Linked DNA regions of Arabidopsis thaliana. The protein of the gene in region 1 interacts with the protein of each later gene in a pairwise test. Each region holds a gene or a part of one and is shown in the gene's direction. Other genes may lie near its edges.

Region 1 (5,018 bases):
ATACAAGAATCATTAACTCAAAAACCACTTGCATTGATTACAGGACTTGAAACTCTCTCCCATTTTCTTGACGTCAAAAATGATAAAAACTACTCCATGTTTTATAAAAGATAAGAAAAGGGAAAGAGTGATGATGATGATGCGTCGTGAATCGACGAATAAGAGGAAAATGTGACACGTTCTCTTTTCCCCCATTACGCTCTCGTCACTCCTCACCAGCCTGCTCCCTTTTCAAACTTTTCTGTTTTCCCCCTAATTTTACGAAAATCAAAATAAGTTAAAATGGAATATATACCAACTTTCAAAATAAAAAATCTTCAAAACATATCAATGTGTATATAGCGACACGAGTATAAAGTCCCACACACACAATAAACTAAGGTTGGCAGAAAAAAATATACCACCAAACTAAGTGATCGTAACTACTCTTTCGAAAAAACCAAACCCTAATCTTGTTTTAAGACTAAGACCAATTATACTAAAAAGGAAAGATTTCATAATTGGAAGGAAAGTAGTATACTTTGATAGTTATTAAAAATAAAAATAAAATGTTCAAAAGATTTGGCTATAGTGGTTGCTTTGGTGAACTCCACTCCAACGGTGGTTTGCACCATCTCCATTCCCATCACTACCAAAAACCCACACTTCTTTTTTTTTTTCTTTCTTTGCGTAATGTGGGTTAAAAGGAACTTTATTTATGCTCTTGTTTTTGGGTGTTTGAATCGAATTTGAAATCAACATTTGTTTTTATTTTATTTTATTTATAAAAAATTTGTGTGTTTGGAAAGTTGTAAAAGGTTCAAGGGGTTTCGGTAGAGATAATCTTAATTTGGTTTTTAACACATCGACTTAATCCAAATTGACATCTCTAATAGGATTCAGATATTATTATATCTATCCTGTAATTTTCCATAAAATGTAATCAATATGAGATTTGGTATTAGGGTATGAACTTAATGTATCTTATCGGAAAAATGTTTTCTCCTTTGGGTTACCTAATCTCATATCTAATGCCAAAAATAGCATAACATAGAAGATTGGCTAGATCATATGTGGACATCACCGACTGCATGGCAATGTTTGTTTTATAATCGCGTAATACTTGTTTGTCATTTGCCAGTTCTCATAACAAATGCGAAAATAATCTTATATATCCTTGGTAATGCATGTAAAAATTAATTTTGCTTCATGAATTATTTTATATTCTTAAATTCATGACTGAATGAAATTTCTTATCTATATTCAGACGCAGTATATGGGACATCTAACTCAATTTTAAGATTCTAGATTGGATGATTTTATGTTGTTTGACAAAAAAAATAAAAAAATTGGATGCTTTCTATAAATTTCATGCTTTGTATTTTATTAAATTTTGAGCTATTATTGTATTAGTATAGAATTGAGCTATTATTGGATTGTTCTTATCACTTTGTTAATTTCATTTGGTCCTTTAGTTAGATATCAAAATTTTTAAAATTTTCAAAAAAGATCACAGGTTTAATCGGTGACTTTCAATAATACTAGTTTTAACACGACAAGCAAAATATTGTGCATGTATACTATTAAATTGTTAATGTTAGTACTATGAAATAACAAATTCATCACCATTGTAAAACTTAATGTTTCAACATTTCCTAAGAAGAAATGGTCAACCCTTTTGACAAGACAAGCTAAATTGGCATGGACAAGGAACACAGCATCATGATATAACCCTTCACAATAATTATAATAAAAACAATCAAATTTGTATTGAATAATGCGAAACAGACCTGACTTATCAATATGTGACGAAGGATAAGCCCACGCCAAAAACATCCACGTAAAGAACTCATTGATTAGGTCCAAAGAAATTTGGAGAAAATAAAACAAATCCTGACGTGAAAATAAAAAGAAATCATCACTTTTTTTTATCTCTTTTATTTTCTTCTAAATACAAAAATTGAATAATCAATTAATTTTTCATGTATGCAAACAATTTCTTAACAAGTCTTGTGAGCTTTAAATGAAATATAGAGGCGAGTGGATTAGACTTGATCCTGATCTTTTATTAAGCTGATCCATATTTTACATTGAAATAAAGGACACACCGTTTAACACGAAAATGAAGAGACAAATAAAGAAGAGGAAAAGCATTGATTCTGAAATACCAATATAGTATCATTCGTGAAAGAAGATTTTGTAATATTCCACAAACTTAGAAATTAGGGGAAAAGAAAACAAAAAAAAAAGATAGGAAAAAAGAGCTTTAACTTTTGGAATTGGAAGAAGCACAAACACACACAAAAAAAAAGTCTCTGTTTTACCTTTTAACCCCTTCAAGAATCCTCCTTTAAGTTCAGTGCCCTCTTACTTTTCTCTTATCGGAATATCTCTCTTCCTCTGTTTCTTCGCCATTCTCTCAGCTTTTCTCCTTCTTCTTCGTCTTTGTCAGGTAAAGAGATACGATGAGCATATCCCACATACCTCTCTCCTCTTCTCATCTTTTTAGTTTCTCGAAAGTTTGCATGCGCCGACTTTGTTATAGGTTATAAACTTTAGTTTTAAGCCTATTTTCGTATGTTTATGGTTGTTGTAATAGTTGAGAATTCAGAGTATGTCAAGTGAAACTTAAAAAGAATTCTATATGTATGTGTGTATGTGTTAAAGAGTGAATGGAGCTGTGGACAGAAGCTAGAGCCTTAAAGGCAAGTCTAAGAGGAGAATCTACTATATCTCTCAAACATCACCAAGTGATTGTGTCGGAAGATTTAAGCCGAACTTCTTCCTTGCCGGAAGATTTCTCCGTTGAGTGTTTCCTCGATTTCTCAGAAGGTCAAAAAGAAGAAGAAGAAGAAGTTGTCTCTGTTTCTTCTTCACAAGAGCAAGAAGAACAAGAACATGATTGTGTCTTTAGTTCACAACCTTGCATCTTTGATCAACTTCCTTCTTTGCCGGTAAATTTCTAAACTTCTTTATACCTTTTCTTTCTCTTCTTATAATCGAAAGATTTTAAGTTATATTTTTCTTGATTTCTTTTTTTTTGGGATATTTTTAGGATGAAGATGTGGAAGAGCTTGAATGGGTATCTCGTGTTGTGGATGATTGTTCATCACCAGAAGTTTCACTTCTCTTAACACAAACACATAAAACCAAACCAAGCTTCTCAAGAATTCCGGTTAAACCAAGAACCAAACGGTCTCGGAACAGTTTAACCGGTAGTCGTGTTTGGCCACTCGTTTCAACCAATCATCAACATGCAGCAACAGAGCAGTTGAGGAAGAAGAAACAAGAAACTGTCCTTGTGTTTCAACGAAGATGCAGCCATTGTGGCACAAACAACACACCACAGTGGAGAACCGGTCCGGTCGGTCCAAAAACCTTATGTAATGCATGTGGAGTCCGGTTTAAGTCTGGTAGGCTCTGCCCGGAATACAGACCGGCGGATAGTCCGACGTTCTCGAATGAGATTCACTCAAATCTTCATAGGAAGGTTCTGGAATTAAGAAAGAGTAAAGAGTTGGGTGAAGAAACAGGTGAAGCTAGTACTAAATCAGACCCAGTCAAATTTGGCAGCAAGTGGTAGATAAGACTTAGGTAAAACCTACTTTTTGTAACATTATCTGTAGTGTTGTAATTTAACAACTTGCTTCTTAACATTTTGAAACTGTTTCAGGAACTAGTCTTAAGTAAACAATGGTTTTCTATAAACAAAATTAATGTGTGTTTTTAATGATGTAAGACCACCACCACCACTACTAGTACTTGGAATGATTTTGGTCCATGTGTAGTGGCTTAAATAGACTTTTTGAGTAAACAAAATGCCAAATGGAAGAATCATCTTGAAAACTCCAACATTACTATATAGTATATATATTATTGATAAATCTTGAGATTCGACATATTTATTTGATAATCGATGCAAGCATAATTAATTTAGACATTTATTCAGCAAAAAAAAAAATTAGGTATGTAATTAATTTATACATATCGAATTACTAAAGGTTAATTTTCAGGCTAATCGTAGATAAACGATTTCGTTAAATCCCCATGAAAGTAAATTTAGGCAAATGTATGATGCTATGTCTGCCGCATAATTGTTTAATCTCACCATTTGCATATCAATCTTTAAGGGAAACATCCTTTTAATGTGTTTATGTGGCCTTGTCTCCGTTTTATTGCTACTTTGTGTCATACTCAAAATAAGTTGACTATAAAGCTACATGTATCTACACAAAAAGAGAGTTTATTTAGTATGCTTGCTTGGGAATAAGCAGGAGACAAAAGAAAACATCCAAGTTAAAACATGAAGCAGCAAAAGAGAGTGTTCATCCACAAAATGTGAGAGGTTTCTTAGCATATAAAGATATTGATATAAATCTAATCATTCTCGTAAGAACAAGAACAAAATGAAAGAGCCAAAAACTAAACCCATCTTTCACTTTTTAGATACGAGAAGTGCCACGATCTTTTGAAGATCTTCCTGATTTTGCTTTGCAACCTTTGTAATCTCATCAAGCCGGTGCATGTAGAGAGCATTTTTGGCACTCATCTCTTTCTTAAACTCATGGATAACCACACTCTTCTTGTTTATCTCCAACCACAAGTCGGCTAGGCTTCTATCCGTTTTAGAGGTGTTCCATAACCCCCAAACGAAGGAGATGCAAGTAAGAGAGCCAAAGAAACACCAAGTGAGAAACGAGGTATAGGTTTGTGAGAAATCTCTGGAGGCCTTACCTAGGCAAGTGTACTCCACAAAAGTTTGATGCTCCTTCCCTTTAGCTTTAGCCAGTAGTTGAAGCTTCTTAGCTTGAGATATGTTGATAAATTTGAGAAACTTCCATTTGCGTTTGACGCTCCTCTCGCATGATCTCTTGACCCCGATGTAATGAAGCCTAGTTGCTAAAAGTTTAAAAACCTTGAACCATGTCGATTGTGGATCGTCATTAGGTGTGTAATCATCATCGTCATTATTGCTGGATCCATCATCACTCTTTTTCCCATCGCCGGATCCATCATTGCTCTTTTTCTCACCGGATCCA
Region 2 (5,562 bases), on another chromosome or scaffold:
AAAGTTTTATTGAAATTCCAATATAATACATTTGTGAATTTTTTATATAAAAAAATGCTTGCGGTTAGTTAGCATTTTGGTTTCACAAAACTAAAATATCTTAAAAGTTTTATTTTTTTGGGCGACATATACAACGATATGTTCATGATGATGAACTTTTACAAAACAAACCTAACTGAAAAAGCATAAAATTATTGCCAGACAATATATTATTAAAGTCTCATTAATAATTTCAAAACAAATTCGGTTAAGTGAACTTTTTATGAAAAGAAAACAAATACTATGTATTAAACATATACAACAAGAAAACATTAAACATGCAAGATCCTACGGGGAAAACCGTTAGAAATGGATTTTCGAGATTTTTGACGGAATTCGACCGTCGAATATACAACATTGGAAATCAAAATCTGTTGGAAATGTTTTGGAATTTTCCGATAATTGTTTTTAATTATTTTAAAATATTATGAAATTAAATTCAAATTCGATTTATAAATAAGAATCTTGTATTTATACAACTCGGAAGCTCTAGTTATCGTTATTATTTTCTTTTCTCTCAACCTATTAGAAACTATCACTAGGATCATCAAAATCAAAGATTTATCGAGTAAATCTCCCAAAAACGAATCGACTAGATTTTCTGTTTCCGATCAAAACTATTGTTTTAAGACTTTAAGTAGTCCCATACTAAAAAAAAAAAAAAAAAAAAAAAAGTAGTCCCTTACTACATCAAATTCGTCTTCCTTGACGGCAGTTCTACTGTTTACCTTTCTAACAATTTGATTAGAAAATACTGTTAGATTATTATAAGTGGTTGGTTTGTAACTGAACACGGCTTACACACAGAACAAAAATCAAACTTGAGGTTATAATGAATAACTACATAAACTCACATGTGGCATAATGCATGCTCGAAATAATTTGGGAGAGTGGGATCCATGAGATGCTAATGAGGCTGGGATATTTTAGGACAAATGAAACAGCTGGTTTCCATCTATTAATAACCAGGATCTTTCTTGTCTCCTCTTCCACCTTGTCTTGAAGTTGCATGAGCTGTCCTAGGCCTATCTTTTAACTATGTCCACTCCACTTCACTCATCCTATCCACTTAGCTTATCCCCATTATTAAATGTGTCTCCCTTGGTTTTACTATTTATCTTTATCATATTTTGATTGAAAAATATCGTGAGGTTAGTTTCTAGAAGTTTTACCCGATGACAATCGAAATTGCCAAAACAACAAAAGAAACTGATAAGATATTTTCTCTGTCCAAGTGAATGAGAGTGAATTCCCAATATTTTTAAATGATGTTTGTATTCTTGTTCTCTTTTTTTTTTCATTTAACTGTTATGGGATATGTACGTAATTTTCCGCAATTCTAATGTATACTATAACAATATGATTTTCATGCTTAGACTGCGTTAGAAAGTTCGGTTATAATACTGACAACATTTGTGTGTTCATTGATACTGCGAACATCTTCACAAACATATTGATAAATAATCTCTTCTCTTGCATGAGATTATATTATTTGAGTACATGTACACGTTCTTATTTGCCGAATGTTCTTTGTTGCCACCATAAAGTTTTATTGGGCCAAAACTAATAGAAACCACACATAATCATTTCGTTGTTTTGTGTTTTTGTCAAACAAATCACACATAATTCAACGACAAACTTTCTAATTTGAGCAACCTCTTTATCTCCTTGAAAGTTTCTATGGAGAATTCTACCGATTAGTCGACTCATGACTATTCATCCATTATCACAATTGACAAATCCAGATATTTTGATCAAATATCATTTGATTTTTTTGTTCTATCTCGAAGCAGATACCAGTGTACCATAAGAAAAAAATGCTTCATTAGTCATCTTCAAATCACATGCAAAAATTTGGAAGAAAACTGAAAACAATTTGCATGATAGATCATAATGTTCAAGCAAAAATAAATAAATCCAAATGTGATAAAATGTATAGATATTCACATTGATCTTACTAGTAATATTATATATTTTCTAAAGTTAATTAAAATGTTCTATGTATTTTTTTATATATGAAACACATCATATAAAAGAAAATTGGAATGTAAATTCCAGATCTTGATCCATATAAATATATCAAGATTTATATCGATCAAGATCATATTGGGATCCGTTTTAGACTAATCAAGATTTTACCATTCATATTTCTTGGATATCTGAAATTATAAAGCGCGTCAGAAAATCTTCTACAAGACACTCCCAACATTAAAAAGCCAGAGAAATGATTTGCACACACTCGCTAGTTATATACATACAAAGCATAAAGTTCTGTCACGTGTAAAAGAGCTTGTGAAACATTACAGCAAACCAAACTATTTGACTAAAGATGAAAACAACACCTCTCCCGAGGCTGCATTATTTAGTAAGTCTTCTTTGTTTTTTTCTTTCTTCCAAGATTAAAGAAGACAGACCCAATTATGTAAGGGCAGTCTCTCCTATAAACCTAACTAGTTCATTGGAAAAAACAAGAGAGAAAAAAAAACGATTACTGCTGAGATCTACCATTTCTAAACCTCAACCCATGAATCCTTCTAACAATCCTAAAAAGACAAGGCACCAGAGTCATATGCCTCAAGAAAGAGATGAAACGAAGAAGGAGAAGAAGCTTCTCCACCGCAACATCGAACGACAAAGAAGACAAGAAATGGCGATCCTTTTCGCCTCTCTTCGTAGTCAGCTACCTCTAAAATACATCAAGGTACATATATTTTACTCCAATAGTCTCATTGAAGTCCCAATCTTCCTATCAAGTTCATTGATGGGAGATTTTTGTTCTCTAGGGTTTTAGTTTTCTCAGGCTCTTTCTTCGCAGGGAAAGAGAGCCATGTCAGATCATGTAAACGGAGCAGTAAGTTTCATCAAAGACACGCAAACAAGGATAAAAGATCTCTCCGCAAGAAGAGACGAGCTAAAGCGAGAGATTGGTGACCCTACTAGTCTAACTGGATCCGGATCCGGATCTGGATCAAGTAGATCGGAACCAGCTAGTGTCATGGTGCAACCGTGTGTGAGCGGCTTCGAGGTGGTTGTGAGCAGCTTAGCATCAGGTCTCGAGGCTTGGCCACTCTCAAGAGTTCTTGAAGTTCTTCACGGGCAAGGACTTGAAGTCATCAGCTCTTTAACAGCACGAGTCAACGAGAGGCTCATGTACACTATACAAGTCGAGGTACGGTTACATATTTGGAGTTATTGTAGAGTTTTTTAGTGTAAGCTTATCTATTGTGTAAATATGCTTATTCTTATGTATCCATATATATGATATATCCACAGGTAAATAGCTTTGATTGCTTCGACTTAGCTTGGTTGCAGCAGAAGCTAATTGAGCAGTTAGTACTTTCCACGACTAGGCACTGAAAAAACTAACATTTGTCATAAGAATATGTTCATTGAATGATGCTTTTGTCCCAATCTCTTTGTTTTAGTGTCCGTAAGGGTGTGTTCTTTTGGTCCTTCACTACTTGGAGTGATTTTTTTTTTTTTTTTTGTAAAAATGATCTGGTTGATTAGATTGAATTAGCAAATTCTAAACTTTCATGCATGCTTCTTTATATAGGAGAATCTTTTGATCACCAACAAAACAAAAATATAGTGATGCGCCTGATTTCTTTATACATTTTTGAATATATATATTCATCAATCGATGATAAAGACTAGAGTCTCATCGGTGTCTTTTTATACTTCATATGCATGAACCATAGTTGATAGATATTTTGAACATAGCATACATACACTTCTCTGAGACTTACCAATGAAGATATTTTATGAGAGGAGCATGGTAATGCAGGTTAAATAATGGAGCAGCTGCCATTCAACATTAGTAGATATCTTGTGAGTTTTACTGACTAAATTCGTACGACATTGACCTATAGCTAGGAACAAACACTGATCAAAAGAAACTTTCATTTGATTAACCCGCATATATATTAGTAGATAATATGGCATGCACATAATTTGATTTGACTCACGGTTTTCAAGTTTTCTAATCATGCCATATTTTGTTCATAAATGAAATTACATGACATTACTGAAATATATGGAAAGGAATACTGAAAACGTTTTTTTGGGTTAAGAAGAAGAAGAAAGTACATTCAAATATTCATCTATATTTTATAGTGACGTATATATAACTCTAGGTTTCTTTTGCCTCTTCGGCCTCAACCAGAAGCACTGAAGCACTGAAGCACATAAACAGTATCGCATAACTTCGGTCATATATATTTTGCCGTTGAATAATTTTTCTTAGATTTATGTAAAATTATGGCTTAAATACATCTTAATTATATAAAAATTAGCGAGGATGGCAGTCGAATGTTAAAGCAATAAAGATACGATTGAGTGGTTGAGATCTCCCTAATATACTTTTGATTTAATTATTGTTAGTTAATGGTTAAGTACAAAGATGCTGTCCAACGAATTCATGATCTTCAAATTGGATTATGTTCTAATAAAGACAGCCTAATTAGACCAATACTTAAATCAATTGTTGGTGATGCGTGGTTAAATAATATTCTGATGACAAAAAAACATAATTTTATTTTTTAAAAGTCCCTTTTCCAGAAGAAAAAAAGTTATAAGAAAAAGTTTAGCATATCCGAATTGACTAGTTCTATCTATAATTCAAGTGGATGACCGTAAAGCTTAAAAGAAAATGTCTATGCCCGATCCCTAAATTTCGAATTTATTTATAACAAAAAATTTGGTAAACTATTTATTTATTAATAATAAATTGGTCACATATATTCCGATTTTTAGTTCGAGAAGTACCCTTTTATGAATCTGAAATCCAATTATCGAGGGCACGATTTAAGACAGCTCACCTAATCATAAATAGTGGAAGAAAAAAGCTCTAATCTTACGTATGTATGAGTTTCTGGCTTTAGAAGAGTTAATTAACCTAAAGTTATCTAGTTGAGTGTTGTGTGAGTGTGAGGTTTGGCCCGTTTCTGATGCTGATTAGTTGGCATACATATCATTATCCGCATGTACTACCAAAAAATATCCGCTTGTACTATGGTCAGCTTTCGAATATTTATGGTGGTGTACGATTTTACCAAATATCCTTGAGAATAAAATCCACTTGGCGAATATTAGTCAACGATTATTTGACTTTAGAAGTAGTCAAGGTTCTACAGAATTAGCAGTAAATAACATTGTAGAAATAAGTTTCTAGCTATCCCGTGAATTTTGGAAGGAAAAAAAACATATTTTTGTTCCTTCACTCATTTTATCATTGGTTTCTTATAGATTTTTCAAATTCTATAAACTTTTTGAATGATTTATCGAAAATTTTGGGTCTACAACAACTATGGCGAGAAATGCATAAACGATCCCATAAGTTAAGTTGTTAGAAATATTTTAACTTCTAATATTCTCAAAGAGACTAGGTTCTGAACCATCTATTTTTAGAATTTTTAGTCAATTTTTGTGTGGCTCTTAACCATATTTATAACCAAAAGTTTAGAACCCATCATGGCTTTTTATTTTTGAACTAGTCCAATGGTAAAACTTCTAGTGATACGT
Region 3 (4,238 bases), on another chromosome or scaffold:
CTAAATATATTTTCTTAATATTGGTTGATCTTTTAGTTTTTTTTATCATAAAATTTTGAGTTTTTTATTTGATCCATTTTTTTATTTCTAAATCTATATATACATTTTTGCATCCATTTTGTGAAATAAATCATGGAGTTGGGATTTATTTACAATGGTTGTCACTGGATTTTAATTATTTAATTTTTTTTAATTAATAGTTTGTATTTTTTTAAGGCAATTAATTGTGTAACAAACCAAAAATATTCGAAATATATGGTAATCCCATATGTCACGCAAAACACGATAAATTATCTTCTCCTTATCTCACCTACAATATTCACTAAATCTTAAAACAACCAAAATTTGAACTATTTAAATTATTTCTATTAAATATCGGCAATCAATTAAAACAAACATTGTGAAACAAACCAAAATACATTTACAATCCCGTAAAATGAGCAAACCCAATTATATGTGCACCTAAAAACATTCCTTATCTTGGTTTGAATATTCCATGAAATTAAAAGTCCATAACTTTTTCGGTATAAAATCACAATCATAACTAATTCAACAACTAATATTTAAACTTATAAAAAATTAAAAAATCATGAGACAAAAAATATAGCGGGACGGATTTAGATTGATATGAATAGCAGGACGGGTTTGGATTGATATAACACATGTTAAATATTTATTTTATTATTTTATCATCACCAATTTTTTTAGTTACAATATTAATATAAAATTATATAACTTTAATACTAAACTAAAACCGTAAAATTCATATTATTATATATATATATATAAAAAATATTTGTCCCGTGGTGTACCACGGATTAAATCCTAGTTTAAGATTTATTTTTGTATCATTTATTGGAAGACAGAACATTCAACATATAATAGATTCTGCTGATATGGTCTTCTTATTGTTTTACTTCTTTCTGATATATATACCATTTTCTGGTTAAAACAACTATTATGATATTAACAAAGGAAATTTCGTAAAAATTATACATAAGATAATTACTCGATCATAATTTCCGAAACATTAATAATTTTCTGGTAATAAAAAATATATATAAAAAATTGTGAATTGGGATATAGATGTGTTGGGTGGCCTAGACGAATAGGGAGGATATAAGAACATGTGCATGCACGTTAAGCTAATATACATACAACGTGCTGCTAACAAGCGATCAATTTCGACCACTAAACACTCCATTATGGCTACTTATTATATGTATAAACCTACCTTAATTAGTTAGGTACTTTTCACGTTACCTTGAAACCTATAAAATATAGACATACACTGATCAATCATATGCGAATGTTAAGCTAATTCTCATTTAATGATCAATTTATATATCTCAATTATCAGAGACGTACATATATGTCTAAGAGAATTTGTAAGTACAATGTTTCGTGTTGACGGCGATGGGAGATATACATTGAATCTATAGTCTCCGAGGATGTTTGATCAACATCGCTCCACGAATCTGCTTTTCTTTTTCTTTTCTTAAAAATAAACACATGACGAGAAAGAACATAATCTTTTAAGGTGCTTCAATCAAATCCACTCACTAAAATAAAAATCCTAAATACGAAAGTCCATAAATTCAAAGGAACACAGAAGATCACTGCATGTTCTTGTGTCTTTTTATATTAAGACCTTATCCCATTATCCAACATCGTTATCTACTTTGTCCAAAAAAATAAAACACCTAGAAATGCTTTTGTTATATCATTAGGTTATTCATATTTCTTAATTAGTTGCGCCGGGTTATATCAGCTGGAAATAATGAGATATATAACGACTTGATAAAAGCAAAAGCATTATGACAACCAAATAGTCATATTTTATCTATCATCTCCGTCGACAGTGGTGATCAATTCAAACTATATACATTGTAGCGAAACTCAAACACTAATATATTGTATGTTTCTAAATTAGTTTACGAATCAGACCAAAATTTTGGGAGAAATATAAAATAAGATAATTTTTCGATAGTTGTTTTGACTTTTGCTAACGCGCGCGGCATAATATGAATATTTTCTTTTTCATCTTATCAACCTATATATCTGTCTATTTCAATCGCTAGCGTCTTAATACACTGATTGCATGCTTATAAATTAGATTAAGAATTAATCTAGAAAGATAATGGCATAAAGATAATTATATTCTTCGTTAATGCCTGACTTTTTTTTTTTGGTTTGCTTCAATCCGCCCGACTTTGTTAATCTCAGAACAAATTGGCTGCGAAAGTAAAATAAAATAAAATGAAAAAATGGATAAAGCGCAACAAAGGAGGAATAAGACAGGGTGTTTAAGGTGATGTGAATGGGAAGAAAGTTGGTGTTATTAAGCATGTAAGAGAGTTGGGTAGTGATGATAATCATGTGAGTGCATGTGCATCGAGTTGTATTTTGATGACATGTCCTCTGATTTAAGCTAAACCCTAATTATCCATCAAAAACAACATTTAAAACACCCTTGTGGACACTTGTCAAATTCTCATCCAATTCTTTTGAGAGATAAAAGGAGAACCTTCTCAGAAGCTGTAATCTCCATTTTAAGCTATATATAAAGGTCACTGACCTCTATGTATGTCTATATAAACTAAGGGCGTCTCATACTCTCATATATATTTGCATCTAATCTTGTAAGCAAACGTTATCACTTGTCTACACAACATTCTTTCATTTACAATAATAATATGGGTGTAACATTAGAAGGACAAAGAAAGGAATCAATTTGGGTTTTGATGAGAAGACAAAGGGCTCGAAGGGCACTTGTGAAGAAGATCATGATCCGACCAAGGAAGAGTGTAGAAGCTTCTAGAAGACCTTGTCGCGCAATACACAGACGAGTGAAGACGCTAAAAGAGCTTGTTCCCAACACCAAAACATCAGAAGGTTTAGATGGACTCTTTAGACAAACGGCAGATTATATCTTGGCTTTGGAAATGAAAGTGAAAGTTATGCAGACAATGGTTCAGGTTTTGACCGAAACTAACTGTGTTTAAAAGCCTTCATATATTTTTTGTATATCTTGTTGGATTTTACGTTCTTTTTAGTTTTTATTTGTTCGTGTTTATTTTTTATTATCTCGTGTGATTGTCTTGTGTTGCTTATATAGAAAAGGAATTTGGTTTATCTTGCTGCTGTAGACTATGCAGAAAATTAAATATCAAAAATATATATGTATTATATGCTTATCTAAATAACAGATGACTGTTGGTTCGGCAAAAAAAACATGATAATTGTTCCATGGGAATAGTTTTTGTGTGCTACATTAGCAAAGAACAAAGGGTCATTTCTTAAAAAGGTTGTAAAGGAACTATGTTGTAAACATGATATCAATAAAATTAAGTTCAGTCGGTTGGAGAAAATACAAATGTAGGGAGGTAACAGGTATTTTTTACCAATAAAGGGACAAAACACTGTTGAAAAAGAATGTTTAACGTTGGGCTGTGAAAGTGCGTGGGCCACGAATTCAAATACCGAATTTTTAGTCCATATAGTGGAAGCATCCAAATTCGAAGTTCAGGCTCACCTTCGAACTTGTGAAAGTTTCAATATTTCTATTCATTTGAAAGTTCATAATTGCAAACTATGATTTGGAAATTACAGTGAAAGAACTTGAATTTTAGTCTTGAAATATCAAAATTAATCCTTAAACTATTTAACACAGTGAGTTAGCTATATTTTGTTTTTTCATTCGTGTTTTCCATATTATTTGTTGTTGACGTGTTGTTACTACGCTCTCCATTTAGGGTGTTACAAATAAATTAAAAATTGCGATGACCAAAAAAAAGAATATACCGATTATTTTCGAATAGTTCTAGGCATCAATAGTGGATATGCAGAAAATTTATCGAGAAGACTACTAGCTTCATAGTACGTATTATAACGATGTAATTTACTTTTCATTGTAATTCTTTCAAAGTAATTGGTAAAACTGTGTTATGTCACTATGTGCTTTTAAATCCTGCTGTTGGACTACAGTGTCGCTCTGTGATAATGATAGATAACAGATACAAATGTTTGATGGCCACGTATCATTTAGCCCTTTAATTTATTTGAGATGACACGAATTGGTTGTGATGAAATGGTCCGACATTTTATTATCTCGACGTTGATTTGGGGTTCAACAATATTAACATGGCACTACACATTTATTCTTTAACACCGTGTAGAGATGGCAAGTAAAGTCTTTAAATGGGCTTATAAACGGGCTCATTTGATTACTCAAACAT
Region 4 (3,771 bases), on another chromosome or scaffold:
AGGATGGTCTTAATGCACGTAAGGATCTGCAACATCTTGGTCTACGACACGCTTTGCATCCTACCACACAAGGAAAGAGAACATATGCACTTAGCTCCTGTATTGCTTTATTTTGTGCTTGAGACTTTTCTTATGTATTTTGGATCTAAACTTATGTTTAATCAATGGTCAATGTATGAGATTTTATAAAGCAGGTTATGTGTTATGTGTACTATAATCACATCTCAGAAAATGCTATAAGAATACAGGTAATAGAATATTTAACATATGACTAATGCTATGTTTTAATCATCTATCGTAGCTTATAAATTGATATAAGAACATAACATAGCACATAATTTGACTAATTATTTTCCAATTGAAAAAAGGCAAACCACGATAAAACAACATTTCGCAACAGCTATATTAGAGATATATAACATAGCACGAAAAATCAAATATTATATAATTTTTTTAAGAAAATTAAACGTGATAATACAACTGTTCTTTATAGCTATGTTATTAAACTATAACATAGCATACTGAACTCACGCTACTGTATGTGAGGTACCTATAATAACAATGCCCTAAAATAGCGTTCATGAAAAAGTTATTAAAGACATATTATAGCATTTTTCTCGTGATAAGAATGTCCATTGTAGTGTAAAAGACATAAAAAATAACATAATACACATAAAGACACTAAGACTTCTAAAATTCAAAAGACTCACTTGGACACTAAATGCAACAAAACTCACAACGAAAAATACTATGACAAAAATCATATCTTTTATATATTCAAATTCATTATTATATTTTCCAAAATATTGAAACAAACGAGATCCTATGTAGAATGGGATAACGCAACAAACATCAAATTACGTTTTTTAACCATAATTAATATTCATAAATACTTCTTAATCATTAATACAAATATTTTTATTAATATCATAATTAAACATAATATATCATGTTTTCGGTTAATCCTCTAAATTTGCTATGATTAGTTTCTATGAATTGATGAATTTCTCTGCGTATCAACATGTCTCACTCTCTAGATATCAACGATTTTAACATTGGATGAATTATTGTCAAATTTATTAATTCGATTGCAAAATTACATTGAAATATGATATAATAAATTAAATATATAAAATTACAAAATAAACTTATTAAATAAAATATATTATAATTATAATTTATGATATAAATTAACAAACTAAAATTTCTACACATATTTCTCCACGATGTAGAGTGTGGGTTCTTATTTAATGATCACTTATAAAGGAAAACGAATGAGGGACAAGTCAGTACTTAATTACTTTAGTTAGTTATATTTTAAACAATAGACATGTCGAATCTTTTAAGTTAAATGCATATAATGGATCGAACTTGGCGCTCAAACGTATCCAATCTTTTAATTAAAGTTTAGCCGCATCACTCTCTCTCTCTCTCTATAAGTTCATTCTAGGGAAGGGAAGCATCCAAACTTGGTTGCGACAAGACAAATGCTAAGGATAGATTTAAACTAAAAGATATGAAAATTTTGTATTAAACATTGTATTTTTTTTTACTGCGTATTAAACATTGTATAAATATTTTTTTTTAATATAATTTACCATAAATTAAAATAAAAAAGGGTTTACGTGTATAAATCTAGGTTACAAAAATAAACAACTCAAGTTAACTATTATTGGGTTTAAATTATATAAAAAAACCAAAATTTTAAAAACCTTCTCGCAGTTTCTGCTCTCACTTCCAATGAACAAGTTATATATAAAACACTAACAATATTTTTGTTATGACTAAACTCTTTCCATTTCTTTGTCCATGTTCCACCACTATAAATTACGAATTATAGCATCGCATTTTTTCTTCTTATTCTATGCTCTTATAATCCATAGGACCCACTTCTACATGATTCTCCTACAACCCCATTATAAAACCCTTGGTCCACTTCCTCCTCTTACTTCAAAACTAACTTCCCAATTCTTCACACAAAATAAAAACACAGAAACTCTTACATACTCATATAAACCAAACTAAAACCATGATTCCGGCAGAAATCAACGGATATTTCCAATATCTATCACCGGAATACAACGTAATAAACATGCCTTCATCTCCAACCTCTTCCTTAAACTACCTAAACGATTTGATCATCAACAACAACAACTATTCCTCATCATCCAACAGTCAAGATCTCATGATAAGCAACAACTCAACTTCCGACGAAGATCATCATCAAAGCATCATGGTACTCGACGAGAGGAAACAGAGAAGGATGCTTTCGAACAGAGAATCTGCAAGGAGGTCAAGGATGAGGAAACAGAGACATCTTGATGAACTCTGGTCTCAGGTAATAAGGCTTCGCAACGAGAACAACTGTCTTATCGATAAGCTGAACCGCGTATCGGAGACTCAAAATTGTGTATTGAAGGAGAACTCTAAACTCAAAGAAGAAGCTTCTGATCTCCGACAGCTTGTTTGTGAACTGAAATCTAACAAGAACAACAACAATAGTTTTCCAAGAGAGTTTGAAGATAATTAGTATTACTCAAAGTGTCCAACTTTATCAGACAAAACGTAATCTATTAACACAATCAAAAGCAGAAAATTTTGGTTTTTATACCTTGGAGAGTGTTCTGTTCTATACAGTGACTTTGAATCCGTTCTTCAATATATTCATTGACATGGACTTTCCCATGATTCCCAAACCCATAGAAAACCCTACTTCCATTTTATCTATCTTCTGCGATTATAGACTTATAGTGCTTACTGCTTAGTGATAATGGTCTAAAATAATGAGACATTTCTAATCAGGGAGCCATTATCATCAAATACTTACTTGAAAAGGAAGTATTTACAGTTTACTCCCTAAACTTTGATTCTTTTTGCATCTCTAACTGGCAGTTTAAGAACGAACAAGATTTCGCCACGTGATTGAAATTTGGCTAAAACTCCAGTGTCATTTGGAATCTTATTTTACTCCAGTCGGGCACGTTAGAAGTTCTCAATCAAATTTATTTGCGGAGTACTAATCTGAATTTACAAAATATTATTCATTTTATCTGATAGTTTATGAAATGTCAATTTAGTCCATGCTTCTAATCTATTGACAATTTTTTTTCCTTCTTCTATATATATATTTTTTTTTTTTGGTTCTGGGCCGAAATCCGTAATATTAGTTTTGCCTAGAGTCTTTACCAATTAAGCTAACGACACTTAACTCTTTCTTTCTTCTATTCTTGTGCTTCTACAATGGGAAGATCAACGTAAACATATTATTACTAAAGTTTACATACGATAGTAAACATAACTATAATGGGAAGTGCAAGTGTTTTTAATTTTATTTGTAGGTATAAAAATATGCTATATCTCTTTTTTGTGTGTGTGGTTGGCAAATCTTAGGCTCAGCCTTTTTCACATTTGTCTCTTGTTTTATTTCCTCTTCTTTTTTCCTTTGCTTTTGGTCCACTAAAAAACATTAGTCTTGAGTTTGAGGCAAAAAATGGAGAAAAACTGAGAATTTTGAGAACAACGAATCTTGTAATCGTTGAAGAAGCTCAATTACAGTTTCTGTTTCTTCCTAATTATGGCAACAATAGCAGGAGGATCATTTGGAGTCCCAAGCTCTCGTATCTCTATAACAACACCAACTCTCTCTTCCTCTTCTTTGCTTCCACCACTAACATTGGTTTGTAATGTCTTCAATTTTCATGGAGTTTGTATCTCATTTGAATTGAATCTTTATGATTCGTCTTCTTGCAGCAATCAGGTACTAGAAAGGAC

Evidence for each region.
Region 2: the proteins of GATA3 (region 1) and AT5G51790 interact in a two-hybrid assay, tested with the Arabidopsis thaliana proteins (one large-scale study listed by BioGRID).
Region 3: the proteins of GATA3 (region 1) and UPB1 interact in a two-hybrid assay, tested with the Arabidopsis thaliana proteins (one large-scale study listed by BioGRID).
Region 4: the proteins of GATA3 (region 1) and bZIP48 interact in a two-hybrid assay, tested with the Arabidopsis thaliana proteins (one large-scale study listed by BioGRID).

Annotation. Positions count from the first base shown.
Region 1 is NC_003075.7:16,551,049-16,556,066, forward strand, and holds GATA3 (GATA transcription factor 3), read left to right. Parts: upstream 1-2,096; 5' UTR 2,097-2,431; exon of another isoform or gene 2,432-2,646; 5' UTR 2,647-2,651; coding exon 2,652-2,933; intron 2,934-3,034; coding exon 3,035-3,562; 3' UTR 3,563-3,824; downstream 3,825-5,018. Other genes in the region: AT4G34690 (uncharacterized protein), read right to left, coding at 4,415-5,018. UniProt on the Arabidopsis thaliana protein: Transcriptional activator that specifically binds 5'-GATA-3' or 5'-GAT-3' motifs within gene promoters. May be involved in the regulation of some light-responsive genes.
Region 2 is NC_003076.8:21,037,199-21,042,760, forward strand, and holds AT5G51790 (basic helix-loop-helix (bHLH) DNA-binding superfamily protein), read left to right. Parts: upstream 1-2,334; 5' UTR 2,335-2,368; coding exon 2,369-2,740; intron 2,741-2,854; coding exon 2,855-3,208; coding exon of another isoform or gene 3,209-3,247; exon of another isoform or gene 3,248-3,312; coding exon 3,313-3,396; 3' UTR 3,397-4,420; downstream 4,421-5,562.
Region 3 is NC_003071.7:19,410,508-19,414,745, reverse strand, and holds UPB1 (transcription factor UPBEAT protein), read left to right. Parts: upstream 1-2,417; 5' UTR 2,418-2,696; coding exon 2,697-3,005; 3' UTR 3,006-3,316; downstream 3,317-4,238. UniProt on the Arabidopsis thaliana protein: Transcription factor that modulates the balance between cellular proliferation and differentiation in root growth. Does not act through cytokinin and auxin signaling, but by repressing peroxidase expression in the elongation zone.
Region 4 is NC_003071.7:1,329,890-1,333,660, forward strand, and holds bZIP48 (basic leucine-zipper 48), read left to right. Parts: upstream 1-2,029; coding exon 2,030-2,530; downstream 2,531-3,771. Other genes in the region: AT2G04137 (phosphogluconate dehydrogenase (decarboxylating), NAD-binding domain protein), read right to left, coding at 2,294-2,473, 2,636-2,719; AT2G04039 (DUF2996 family protein), read left to right, coding at 3,575-3,676, 3,751-3,771.